Linked DNA regions of Ovis aries. The protein of the gene in region 1 binds, or shares a complex with, the protein of each later gene. Links are inferred from orthologs where the notes say so. Each region holds a gene or a part of one and is shown in the gene's direction. Other genes may lie near its edges.

Region 1 (3,649 bases):
CAGGGACTGAGGATCTGCTTTATAATGACTGTGGTTGTTAGTTGAAATTGAGTGGTACAGAGACTTCTGTGGACCCTTGTTTCCAGCCAGTTTGCCCAGGGTAATGTTTTCTGTGTTACAGGGCAATGAAACGCTTAGAAGAGGCCCGTCTTCATAAAGAGATTCCTGAGACAACTAGAACCTCCCAGATGCAAGAGCTGCACAAATCTCTCCGGGTAAGACGCTCCCCATGATTGCCTGATGTTTTAAAGATTTCTTGCAGTGTTTATTAAATGTTCTACCTTGGCCCACCTCTAACAAATAAAAGGCAGCCGTACATCTTTGCTTGCACTGTTGCTGCTTGAGAGGATTGGTCCGTTAAGGTGCCAGGGAACCTGCTGTACTTTGTACGAGGCAGGCGCCTGTGGTTCTGTGCTGTACTTCTCCCTTTTAATATGTTAGACTGTGCTTTAAGGCTTGCCATGGCTTTCTGGTTTATATTTAGTGGACAGAGACGCTGTCGACACAGTCTGTAGATGACAGCATGAGGGAGTTCCAGATAAGCCTTGACTCGGTTCGTTCATTCATTTGTAGAAGTGTCTTCTGACAAAAGAGGAGGGGTGGGGAATCTTAGGGTGGGTTAAAACTGAAAAGGTTTTTGTTGTTGTTGTTGTTGTGGTGGTGGAAAAGCCAAGAAAGTCTTGGGTTAGCATTTAATGATTGCTTGTTTGTCTTTTCTTTAAGTCTTTGAATAATTTCTGCAGTCAGATTGGGGATGACCGGCCTATCTCCTACTGTCACTTTAGTCCCAATTCCAAAATGCTGGCCACAGCTTGTTGGTAAGTCCCCATCTTACAGTGGTTTGTTTTCTTTTCCCTGAATGGGGTTCTGGGGGGAAAGTCAACATTTGTTTTCGAAGGCCATTGCTTGGCTTCCCTGGTGGCTCGGCTGGTAAAGAATCCGCCTGCATTGTGGGAAACCTGTGTTCAATCCCTGGGTTGGGAAGATCTCCTGGAGAAGGGAAAGGCTACCCACTCCGGTATTGTGGCCTTGAGAATTCATGGACTGTATAGTCCATGGGGTCGCAAAGAGTCAGATGTGACTGAGCTACTTTCAAAAAAAAGGTGAAAAATAAATAGAAGGCCATTGCCATCCCATTTTCCTCTGCTGCTCATGATCACATCAAACTAGAGGTGGTAATGTGTACCCATTGTAGTTTATAATAGAGCTTTCAGTTCTCATGTGTCAGTCATATTCTTGGCATTAGCATCATTTTGGAGCAGATATATTAATACAAGGAGTTTATAGACTAATTATACACACCTTGATATAGCTTTTCTTTATTAGTTATGTGACCTAAGCAAGATACTTCTGTGTAAGCTTCAGTTTCTTTATCTGTAAAGCAAAGCAAATTACCGTTTTTGTGTTTATTCTGTTTTCTGTTTGCCATCGCATATGCAAAAAACTTTTAAGATGTGAAAACTTTGGTGTTTTGTTCTGTTCAGTCACTTAGTGTTCTTGTGGGACATTGTCATCTAGTGAGGGGCTATCTTCCTTACATTGTACACACAGAAGCTACCTGACTAGGCAAAAATCAAGACCAGTTCAGGAGAAAACCAAGGACATATGTAGATCGTCCACCTCTTCAAAGCCTTAGCCGTCTTTATTATGAAGCAGAAATGACTCACTGCTGTGCAGCAGAAACTGACACAACATTGTAAATCATCTATACTCCAATTTAAAAAGTTAATTACAGAAAATAAAACGAACGCACAAGTAGAATAGAAATGATCATTCCTGTCTTATGTACCTCACAAATCTGTTACAATGGTCATCTGAGATGATATAAAAGTAATTTGTTGGAATTTTTCAAAATAAAGCAGTTTTTAAAATTTAATTACTTTGTAAGTAATATGCTATTCATATTTAAGGAGATAGTATCATTATTAATATTATAGTTAGATAATTTAATTTCTCCTACTTTGCCTAGAAATTGGTCTAAAAGTTAAGGAGAAGAGCAACTTGTGCTATAATATTTATAGTCCAGTAGAGGCCTTTGTTTGCTTCAGACCTGGTTATAGCTTTCTTATATAACCCTTCAAATGATAAGTCTTTTCTTTTTTGACTGCCGCTATAACTATTTTTGGGGGTAAGAAGATACTGTCCTTTAGTAATGTTACCAAGATACCTTTTCCTTCCCAGACCAACCCTGGCTGAGGTGCTTTCCTTTGTGTTTGATAGGAGTGGGCTCTGCAAGCTCTGGTCTGTTCCGGATTGCAACCTCCTTCACACTCTGCGAGGTGAGTTAGACTCTTACCCAAAGCTTGGTCTTTTTCCCAGTTCAAACTCTTATCAAGCAGTATAGCTCTTAAAGCTCTACCGGACACTCAAACCCAGTACACACACAATTAATTCTTGATATGATCTGACTTGGTTTGGTTTTCTTTGACTGCAAGGCTGAATGATAATGATATCATACGCATATTTCTCTCTCATGTCCAGCCCTACTCTGGCATTTGCAGTCTCTAAAGCAAGAAACTTTTTTGTATGTGTTTAGCTTTTTTTTTAATGTAATTTATACGTTTAAATTTTAAAAGTTCAGTTTTTTAGTAGTTGAATAATACTTTATAGGTTCACGTTTTCTGAAATGTGTATATATAATATTCCTCATTGTGTATATTTACACTTAAGTTATAACGGAACAGCAGCCCTTTAATTTCCATCTCTTACACTCCTTCAGGCCATAACACAAACGTGGGAGCGATCGTATTCCATCCCAAATCCACGGTCTCCTTGGACCAAAAAGACGTCAATCTGGCCTCTTGTGCTGCTGATGGTTCTGTGAAACTGTGGAGCCTTGACAGGTGAATATTACTGCTCTGTCCGCACGGCAGTCACCACAGTAAACAGTTGATTGGTTGGCCCTAGGGACCTAGAACTCTGTACCTTGGTTTTTGCCTCTAAACAGTGACCACTGTTTCCTGGCTCGTTATTCTGGAACGATCTATTATACCTGCCATTGCAGTAGATTGACGTTGGAGAAATGCGCTATTTGGTAGATTGACTGAAAATAATACTCCAGACAACACATTGGTTCTTAGCAAACAGCCGCAGGGGAGAGAAAGAAGGCTATGTCCAGCAGTATTGCCAAGGAAGTGGTATGCTCACAATTTCATCATACTTTACCTAAACCATATTTTCCAAGTACAACAGGCTTGTCTGTTTTAATGTGTTTGTGATTATTTATTGTTTTCCAAGAAATAGTTAGAAGCACCTTGTTGCCTAAAAGACTTCTGAATTCAGTTGCTTAGTTTTCCTTCTTTGGGAAAGCACATGAGGCTTTTGTTCTAGGATTTTGTGAGGAGCTAATTAGTGTCTCCACTCTGCTAGATAGGATATTACCTGTGAGCACAGCAAGTTTTAATTGGCTTTGGTAATAAGTAGCAATGTTTGTTCCTCTAGGGCTTTGATTAGTTATGTGTATCCACATTAATAGTGTTCTCTTTTTAATTGCCCTCTTTAGGGTTTGTGTTTATTTCCTTTCACTGGTGTTTCAGATCTTTCTGCTGTTGCTGGTAGTAGAATTTAAGGGCCACTGAAAGGAAACTAAGCCTCTGTTTAGGAGTTCTTCTTTCATGAAGATCCTTGGACAAGCTGAAGTTTGAGATAA
Region 2 (3,727 bases), on another chromosome or scaffold:
CTGACTAATGACCTGAGATGAGACTTGACCTACAAGACCACTCCGCACCCTCATGAAGATTTAGAAGAATATTAAAGTCAGTTAACAGGCCCTAAATAGAATCCGAGTCTCCGTGACCTAGAGGAACAGGCTAGAGTCCCAGGTAGGTGGCCAGATAATGTAATGTAGGTCTTTTATGTAGCAACTGGATTTTATTCTAAATAAGGGAATCCGGGAGTGATTTATAAGCAGATTCATTTAAAAGCTCTAGCTGCTCTGCAGTAAGTGACTTGGAGATGATGAAAGCGGAAGCTTGTGGGAGAACTGGAATTAAAGTCTAGTGCCTGACTTCATGAAAGTGCTGAATATACTGAACAAGCCTTATATGCCAGGCTGTTCAAAGCGCTGAGGATAAACACGGTTTTTGCTTCCGGGCCTCCAGACTAGTGAAAAGGGGTAAGAGGCCGCACATATGATGGTTCAGACGGTCTTGGCTGCAAAGGCTGATCAGACCCTGAAGACTGCCTAGTCCAAGCCCCGTAGCCTGAGCGAGAATCATCCGTACTGCACTTACTGTATCCAAGTGAATGAGAGGCCCGTGGGCCTCGAGCGAAAAAAAAGCCGAGGATGTCCTCCGGCCTCAGCGCTCAAGGAGACTCAGGTGAGGTAACAACTTGCGACTCGTCAAAACGGAAGGAAGCCCCGGCCACCCACGCAGCGCGCAGCTTGGCATCGAAGGCAGAGAGCTTCCGGGGGCGGGGCCGACCGCCTCCCACCGCACCGCCCCCCCCCCCGGCTCTTCCTGCGCCTGCGCCGGAAATAAACACCTCCCGGCGGAGCAAGATCATAGGATCGCCGGAACCCCGCGCTCCCGACTTCTGCTTCCGGGTCAGAGGCATGGCGGTGGCAAATTCAAGCCCTGTCAATCCCGTGGTATTCTTTGATGTCAGCATTGGCGGCCAGGTGAGGTCTTGGCAGCCAGCCAGCCCGATGCCAAAGGGAACGTGCACGCGGTCTGGCAGGCAGATCACCTCCTCAGGTGTAGCAAACTCGGGAAGCCAAAAAGTGAAATTGAACCAGAACCTACCGACCTGCGGGGCGGGGGTGAGGGAGTAGGAAGAGGAGGAGTCTTGCGCATCCTAGCGCCCGGCTGGTGGAGGGACCGGGTGGAACGGAAGAGTAGGCTACGGAGGCGGAGGTGGGAGAGACCAAGCGGCATGGGGGCCCGAGGGTTCCCTGTTCGGTGAGGCCTTCACGGGCTTGGACTGGGCTTTCTGAACGTCTCTCGCCGGTTGCAGGAGGTTGGTCGTATGAAGATTGAGCTCTTTGCAGACGTTGTGCCTAAGACGGCGGAGAATTTTAGGTAAGATGATGTTCTTTGCTGGATAAACCAAACGAGAAGCTGGGCCTGTCTGTGGAATCTTCTGCCTACCTCTATCCGTTCATTCACCGTCCTTGAGATCTGACTTCTCTGGGTATCTCTCTGAATAGTCTTGACCGTCCCCTTTTCAGTTTATGTTAATCTGTATGCCTGGACGTCTGACCAGCCAGTTGGTGGGCTAGCTAGCGCCGACGTTCCCCTTCCCGCTGAGGTTAGGGACGCTCAGAGTTGTGATGCCATGGCGACTGAATCGTTCACTCTTTTCCTTTTCAGGCAGTTCTGCACAGGAGAATTCAGGTCAGTCTCTGACGTGGTTGACTTCTCTGCTTGCTCCTGAGGGCTGTCCTGAGGCTGCAGTTGAGGGTATTGGGGAATCACCGGCAGGCCTTGTATGACTGGTGACAGTAATAGAAGGTATTACTATGGGTCTGTCCTCAGTTCATTTGCCTTCTTCGTCTCTCTTCTCCCGACCATCTTTAGAAGGGTGTCTCTGGCTCGACTGTATGGTAAACGTGAAAGGCCTATGTTTACCTGTTTACCATTTCAAGTCTCTTTCTTTTTGCTTATAGAAAAGATGGGGTTCCGATAGGATACAAGGGGAGCACCTTCCACAGGTAAGGCCTTTGGCAAGCCATCCTGGGGGACTTTTAAAATTACTATTAGTATGGTTTAGAATTACTTCCTTGGGGGATTAGTCTCTTCAGAGGAAAACAAAACCATAGCATAATTCTTAGTTCTTGAGAAGGGATGCTTTTGTGAACTCAACCATTGATTTGAGGACTGAAGTGATAAACATTATATTTTGAAATTAATGTTATTCCAAACCACACAATCTTCTCCCAGCATCCTTTGTTCTCTGTTTCAGGGTCATAAAAGATTTCATGATTCAGGGTGGAGATTTTGTTAATGTAAGTACTGTTCCTTTCCTATTAAGGGCCTATAAGTTTTGTTTTTGTTGGTTGTTGTTATTGAAGCTGCTCCTCGGGGAACTGAGAACAGTAGCCAAGTTTGCTGGGGGAGGAGGTGGGAATGGGAATATCCTGTGATGGCTGCTACTCGCTGCATCACTAGATAACATATTAGCACTTTGATTGAGTCACTCACTCCAAATCTCAGTCTTTTAGGGCTGGGAACTGACTTTCCCAGCATACCTATAGGTGATCCATGACAGACCCAAATTAACTGGGCACATGGAATTTAGCTAGAAATCAGTTACAGTTAACTTTCTCTAAATGGGGGCAAGTCCCTTTCCAGTGAGTTAAATGCTTATGCCCTGATTTCCCATTCACTTCTGGTATCCCAGTGCCTCGGAAGGTGAGTTGTTATTTTTTTAATCAAGTTCATTAGTGGGCAAGAAATCAGAGAGTTCTGGAAGGATATTTTCCCTATTCACTAGGAGAACCCATTGAATTAATCCTTCATTGCTAAGCATGATTTTTCTTGCCACTGTATGCATCCCCATTTCAAGCTTCCCAACCTTGCAGGGTTCTGAATAAACCACATTTATGCTTTCTTAAACCTACGTTTGTCCATACCCACCCATTTCTGTGCATGATCTTTCTTATTAATATCATTTGGTTAGTCATGTTGCTGTTTTCTTGGATCTGGGAGACATTCTTTATCCTTTACATGTATATTTAGTTTGACTGTTAGGAGTTTTTTTAAGATTTCTATCTTTCCTACCCAGATAAGTTTACAAAGTGGCAGATTTGGGGCTGAATCCGAAACAGATATGCTTTGTATCATCTGTATGATGTTGTAAAACTGGGAAATTTTCCGGAAAGTTCTGGAGTTTTGTTTTCTCTGTTACAACTGAAAAGTAGGGGTGCACTTGGCCTGTGTTTCTCATGTAGCAACATTTGGTTGAGTCAAGTAACAGCTCCCTTTAGACAGGTATGTCCTTATTATTTCACCACAGTTCCCACCACTGGCTTCCCTTCTTTACGTCACATACTCCTATAGGCATTTAAGTTTGCAACCCCTGGCCACGACTGATTAGAGTAGGGCTTGGGGTGACCATATCCTTTTTTATTGGCAAGTAAGAAGGGCTAAGATGCTATTCTCTGTGTTCTTTCTTCCAAAGGCTTCTATACTGCTATATTGTCTTAGCAGGGATAGGACTAACTTCTTATGGGTCATTGCTAGGCACATGTGATCACTTGCTAATTGCTCTAGAGTTAGCAGTTAGTCAGCCAGAAGGCTGTCAGGGAGAAGAAATTACTCAGAGCCACCCTTAGGGCAGAAAAAATAGAATGAGCAAGACGTAGAAGCAGAATTTGAGACCTTCTAAAGTTGGACTAAGAATATTTGCTTGTTTGTTTGTTTTAATAATGTGTTTTAAAAATTTAAAAGATAATGTATTTTTTC
Region 3 (3,749 bases), on another chromosome or scaffold:
AAAGAATGATGTGACGATTGACTAAGATCCCTGAAGTTAAAAGAGCACTTTTTGCTTTACATATTAAATTCCACGTGCTTTGTACATAATGCTTGCTAGTTGTCTTTCTCCCCCATTTATCCTTTAGCTCCTATAAGGGCAGAAGACGTTGTAGTTCTGTTCTTTACGCTGGTTATACTGAGCAAAATGCCAATGTTCAACTAAAGTATTTGTTCGATGAATGAATGATTGGTGCTTTGCAGCCATTGTGTGAATGAATGATGTCCTTCCTGGCCTTTCCTGCTTAAACTCTTTAGCTTTAAGCTCCTCAGATATAAACATAAAATAGACCAACGCAAAAAATTTGTTCGCTTTTTCTTTTCAAAACAGATGCGTAAAAGCAGCAAGGCTTCCTAAATGTGATGTTATTAACATAGAATGACATCTGGTGGTTGCCTGTTGGACTGTGGAAGAAATAGTGTATACAAAATGTATAGCAGACTCCTAGATATTACAAGATTAAAAAGGACAGTTCAGTTCTGTCACTGTTTTGTCCGACTCTTTGCGACCCCATGGACTGCAGCACACCAGGCTTCCCTGTCCATCACCAACTCCTGATAGTAGAAGATAGAAAACAATAGAAATGGAAAAAATTGAAAAAGTAGAATAGAAAAATAGAAAAAGAAAACGATAGTAGAAAATAGAAAACATACTTAAAATTTCCCCCTCGCCCAACAAACTTTATTAAAAATGCTAGTTGTGGGTTTTCAAATCATCAAACTTTTAAAAGAAGCGGTAGATTTTTTTTTTTAACGAAAATTGCAACACAATGAATCGGTGGCGGGAAAATCAAATTTATTGATTCTGGTCGAAGAAAGATCCTGGGTTGATATGAGACACACCTCGATAAGGGGAAATAAGACAGCACAAAGGCTTCCGTTTCGCAGGCTTCCGGATTAGAGAAATAACTTATTTATAAGACCGGAGATCTCTAAAGTCTCTTGGAAGTTTGGAGAGGCGAGTTATCTGTGGAGAACCTAGAACGCTCAGTGAACAGAAACACTTTCTAGAATCTCCCTGCAGGATAAAGAAGTGGCTGGATCTCCTCAATCGCACTCTCGGCCTCAGATTGGTCGAGCCTGCCTGGGCCGGAAAAAAGCGGAAGCGCGCTCTTTCAAACTCGCCGTTCCGACGTCGATAGAGGCAGGCCACTTCCGGCGTAGCCATGGCGGCTAACGCTACCACTAACCCGTCGCAGCTGCTTCCTCTAGGTAATCTTTGTCCTGTTGGGGAGCCGGGGCGGGGAGTTGAAAGTTAGGGTTGGGGCCGAAGAGCAAGGCAGTCCCTGACCGAGTGTTAGAAAAACGTAGCTTTCTCTGCAGCTCTCCTTTAGGCTCCAAGTCTCGGCGGCCTGAGGCCGCACAAGTCTCTCTGGCGTGGGGGAGTCTTCTTGAGGCAGGGGTTTTTGACTCCCCAAACCTTCACCGGAAAGGTTCAGTCTTGGTGAATGTGTCGTTGACCTTCTTTGTTGGGTGCTCGCCTTTATAATAGTAAGAGGCCCATTCCGCAACCGGGCTTTTAAACTACCCGGGTTATATCCTGTCTGGCTGGTTTCTGAGTGAGGCACTTGGGTCTGGAATGAGCCTTTAAAGAGGCCTCTGAAAACTAGCTCTTGTTACTCATTTATTCAGCAAGCAGTTACCGCGCCATCTGTGCACTAGACACTGTGATTGGGCACTGTTCAACAAATTTAAATCACGGCCATTACCTTCAGATAGCATACAAACCAGTGTAGGAAACAGGATACAGGGCAGACATAGACTTAATGACAAGGAGGAATCTCTGGTGAAGACAGTTCTGCCTTTTTTTTCCCCTTAATATTTTATATTTGAAGGGTTATCGGGTTAGTGGATGTGGCAGTTATTGTAAAGGTTTTTTTCCATCCTGGAACAAATTCTTCTGAATGACCAGTACATTTCAGGCATTGTCCACTGGGGATACACTGATGAGTAAAAACCACCTCTCAGCTCTCTTTCAGCTTAGAGTCAAGAGGGGCGTTCATATGTTAATCAGATAACTAAAATAGTATTAAACTACAACCATGATAAATTGCTACAAAGGAGGGTTAAATGAATAACAGGGAGGGAAAACTGTCCTTTTAATAGAATGACTGAACAGAGATATGTAACATAAGGTCTAAAGTTTTGGAGTGAATACTTTTCCTGGCTTATCTTTTCACCATATGCATGTAACAAGTGTCAGTAGGCATTCAAATATTTGTTAATGTTATGAATGGGCAAACTAATCTTCTCTCTCCCGCCCTTATCTGCAGAGCTTGTGGACAAGTGTATAGGATCAAGAATTCACATTGTGATGAAGAGTGATAAAGAGATTGTTGGCACACTTCTGGGATTTGATGACTTTGTCAGTATCCTTTTAAAAGGTGGTTGTATGGATTTTTCTTCAGATTTTTAAAAAAGAACTATAGACTATCAGTACTTACCGATTATTATAATAAAGTTTAATTTATTTTTTTGGAAATTGTGATAGTGTTTTAAGGGATTGTGGTACTGAAAGATGAAGTTCCTACCAATTGCACGCAGCTTGCATTTGAGCCATTGTATTCAATGTTATAATTAAAACTGAACAAAGAAATAAGCCAGAGTAAATTTAATTTGGTATGTTTATTTTCTTAACACCAAATTTCAGATATGGTATTGGAAGATGTCACTGAATTGTGAGTAGTGTTAAAAATTAAAGAATGGGTAGGGGGAATCTCTGTTTGATTTAAGGCAGTTTTAGTGCTGTTGAGTCAGTAAAAGGATGTAGGAGAGCACACTGCCTGTTTGAATTACTCTAAAGAGAGAAAGTTTACCTACTGATGTTAGTAAAATTGGATTGGAGGATTATTACCATAATTTAATTGTCACTAATTGCTAGGAAGTTAGTGGAGACAAAGGTTTAAGGTAAAAGATACTAAAAGCAGCCAGGGATCTTAGCGCTCAGATCAAATAAAGGAACTTATAATAAAAACATTTAATGTTTTAAATTAGTTACTCTAAAACTTATGTGTATATATATATATATAAACATTTTATTTCATATTTGATCTCCTTGGTAAGTTTCAGTTTTTTAGATGAAGATCTGCACTAGTGGATGTGGGTCTTAGGCCAGTCAGTCCACTCTCTTGCCTTTGGAGAATTGACATCACCATGGGGATAACCTTGTCTCTGGAAAGTGTACAGTTCATTTATATATAGTAACTAACCTTTTGGTGGATCAGAATGTTGGCTTTGATTATCACTCTTTATCCTGACTTTTTGAAAATCTTTTTGTTTAGTGAAATCACACCAGAAGGAAGAAGAATTACTAAATTAGATCAAATTTTGCTAAATGGAAATAATATAACAATGGTAAGACAGTGAAGGTCTTTTATTTAGATGTTAAGCCATCTTTGTGGGGCAGGGATTACAGAACTGACTTGATTGACTCAATGTTCTTGGCCCAGTGGTGCTTAGGGTGGGAAGGGAATGCTCTGCTGATCAGGATTCTGTGGCCAAACTGTTGAAGATGACATTAGGCCTAAGATTAGTTTGTTTATACCTTTTATCTTATGTATTTTTAAAATATTTATTTATTTTTTTATTTGGCTGCATTGGGTCTTAGTTGCATCACAGAAGATCTTTACTTAGTTGCAACATGTGGGATCCAGTTCCTTGACCAAGGATCAAACCTGGGCCCGCTGCATTGGGAGCATGGAGTCTTAATCA

Evidence for each region.
Region 2: the proteins of PRPF4 (region 1) and PPIH are in contact, whole or in part, in a crystal structure (PDB 1MZW), measured with the Homo sapiens proteins. The link is inferred for Ovis aries from reciprocal best matches to the Homo sapiens genes PRPF4 and PPIH. Residues at the interface, in NP_004688.2 of Homo sapiens: Arg113, Gly116, Glu117, Pro118, Ile119, Thr120, Leu121, Phe122, Gly123, Glu124; in NP_006338.1 of Homo sapiens: Phe14, Arg26, Phe46, Cys47, Thr48, Gly49, Pro57, Ile58, Gly59, Tyr60, Lys61, Gln173, Cys174, Gly175, Glu176, Met177.
Region 3: PRPF4 (region 1) and LSM5 share a complex: the UniProt entries of both Homo sapiens proteins name them as parts of the precatalytic spliceosome. The link is inferred for Ovis aries from reciprocal best matches to the Homo sapiens genes PRPF4 and LSM5.

Annotation. Positions count from the first base shown.
Region 1 is NC_056055.1:10,436,319-10,439,967, reverse strand, and holds part of PRPF4 (U4/U6 small nuclear ribonucleoprotein Prp4), read left to right. Parts: intron 1-121; coding exon 122-215; intron 216-723; coding exon 724-818; intron 819-2,220; coding exon 2,221-2,279; intron 2,280-2,719; coding exon 2,720-2,843; intron 2,844-3,649. UniProt on the Homo sapiens protein: Plays a role in pre-mRNA splicing as component of the U4/U6-U5 tri-snRNP complex that is involved in spliceosome assembly, and as component of the precatalytic spliceosome (spliceosome B complex).
Region 2 is NC_056054.1:17,161,812-17,165,538, forward strand, and holds the start of PPIH (peptidyl-prolyl cis-trans isomerase H), read left to right. Parts: upstream 1-852; 5' UTR 853-876; coding exon 877-942; exon of another isoform or gene 943-1,277; coding exon 1,278-1,342; intron 1,343-1,633; coding exon 1,634-1,657; exon of another isoform or gene 1,658-1,751; coding exon of another isoform or gene 1,752-1,774; intron 1,775-1,929; coding exon 1,930-1,974; intron 1,975-2,225; coding exon 2,226-2,268; intron 2,269-3,727. UniProt on the Homo sapiens protein: PPIase that catalyzes the cis-trans isomerization of proline imidic peptide bonds in oligopeptides and may therefore assist protein folding. Participates in pre-mRNA splicing.
Region 3 is NC_056057.1:65,579,225-65,582,973, forward strand, and holds the start of LSM5 (U6 snRNA-associated Sm-like protein LSm5), read left to right. Parts: upstream 1-1,184; 5' UTR 1,185-1,204; coding exon 1,205-1,250; intron 1,251-2,311; coding exon 2,312-2,407; intron 2,408-2,688; coding exon 2,689-2,716; intron 2,717-3,319; coding exon 3,320-3,392; intron 3,393-3,749. UniProt on the Homo sapiens protein: Plays a role in pre-mRNA splicing as component of the U4/U6-U5 tri-snRNP complex that is involved in spliceosome assembly, and as component of the precatalytic spliceosome (spliceosome B complex).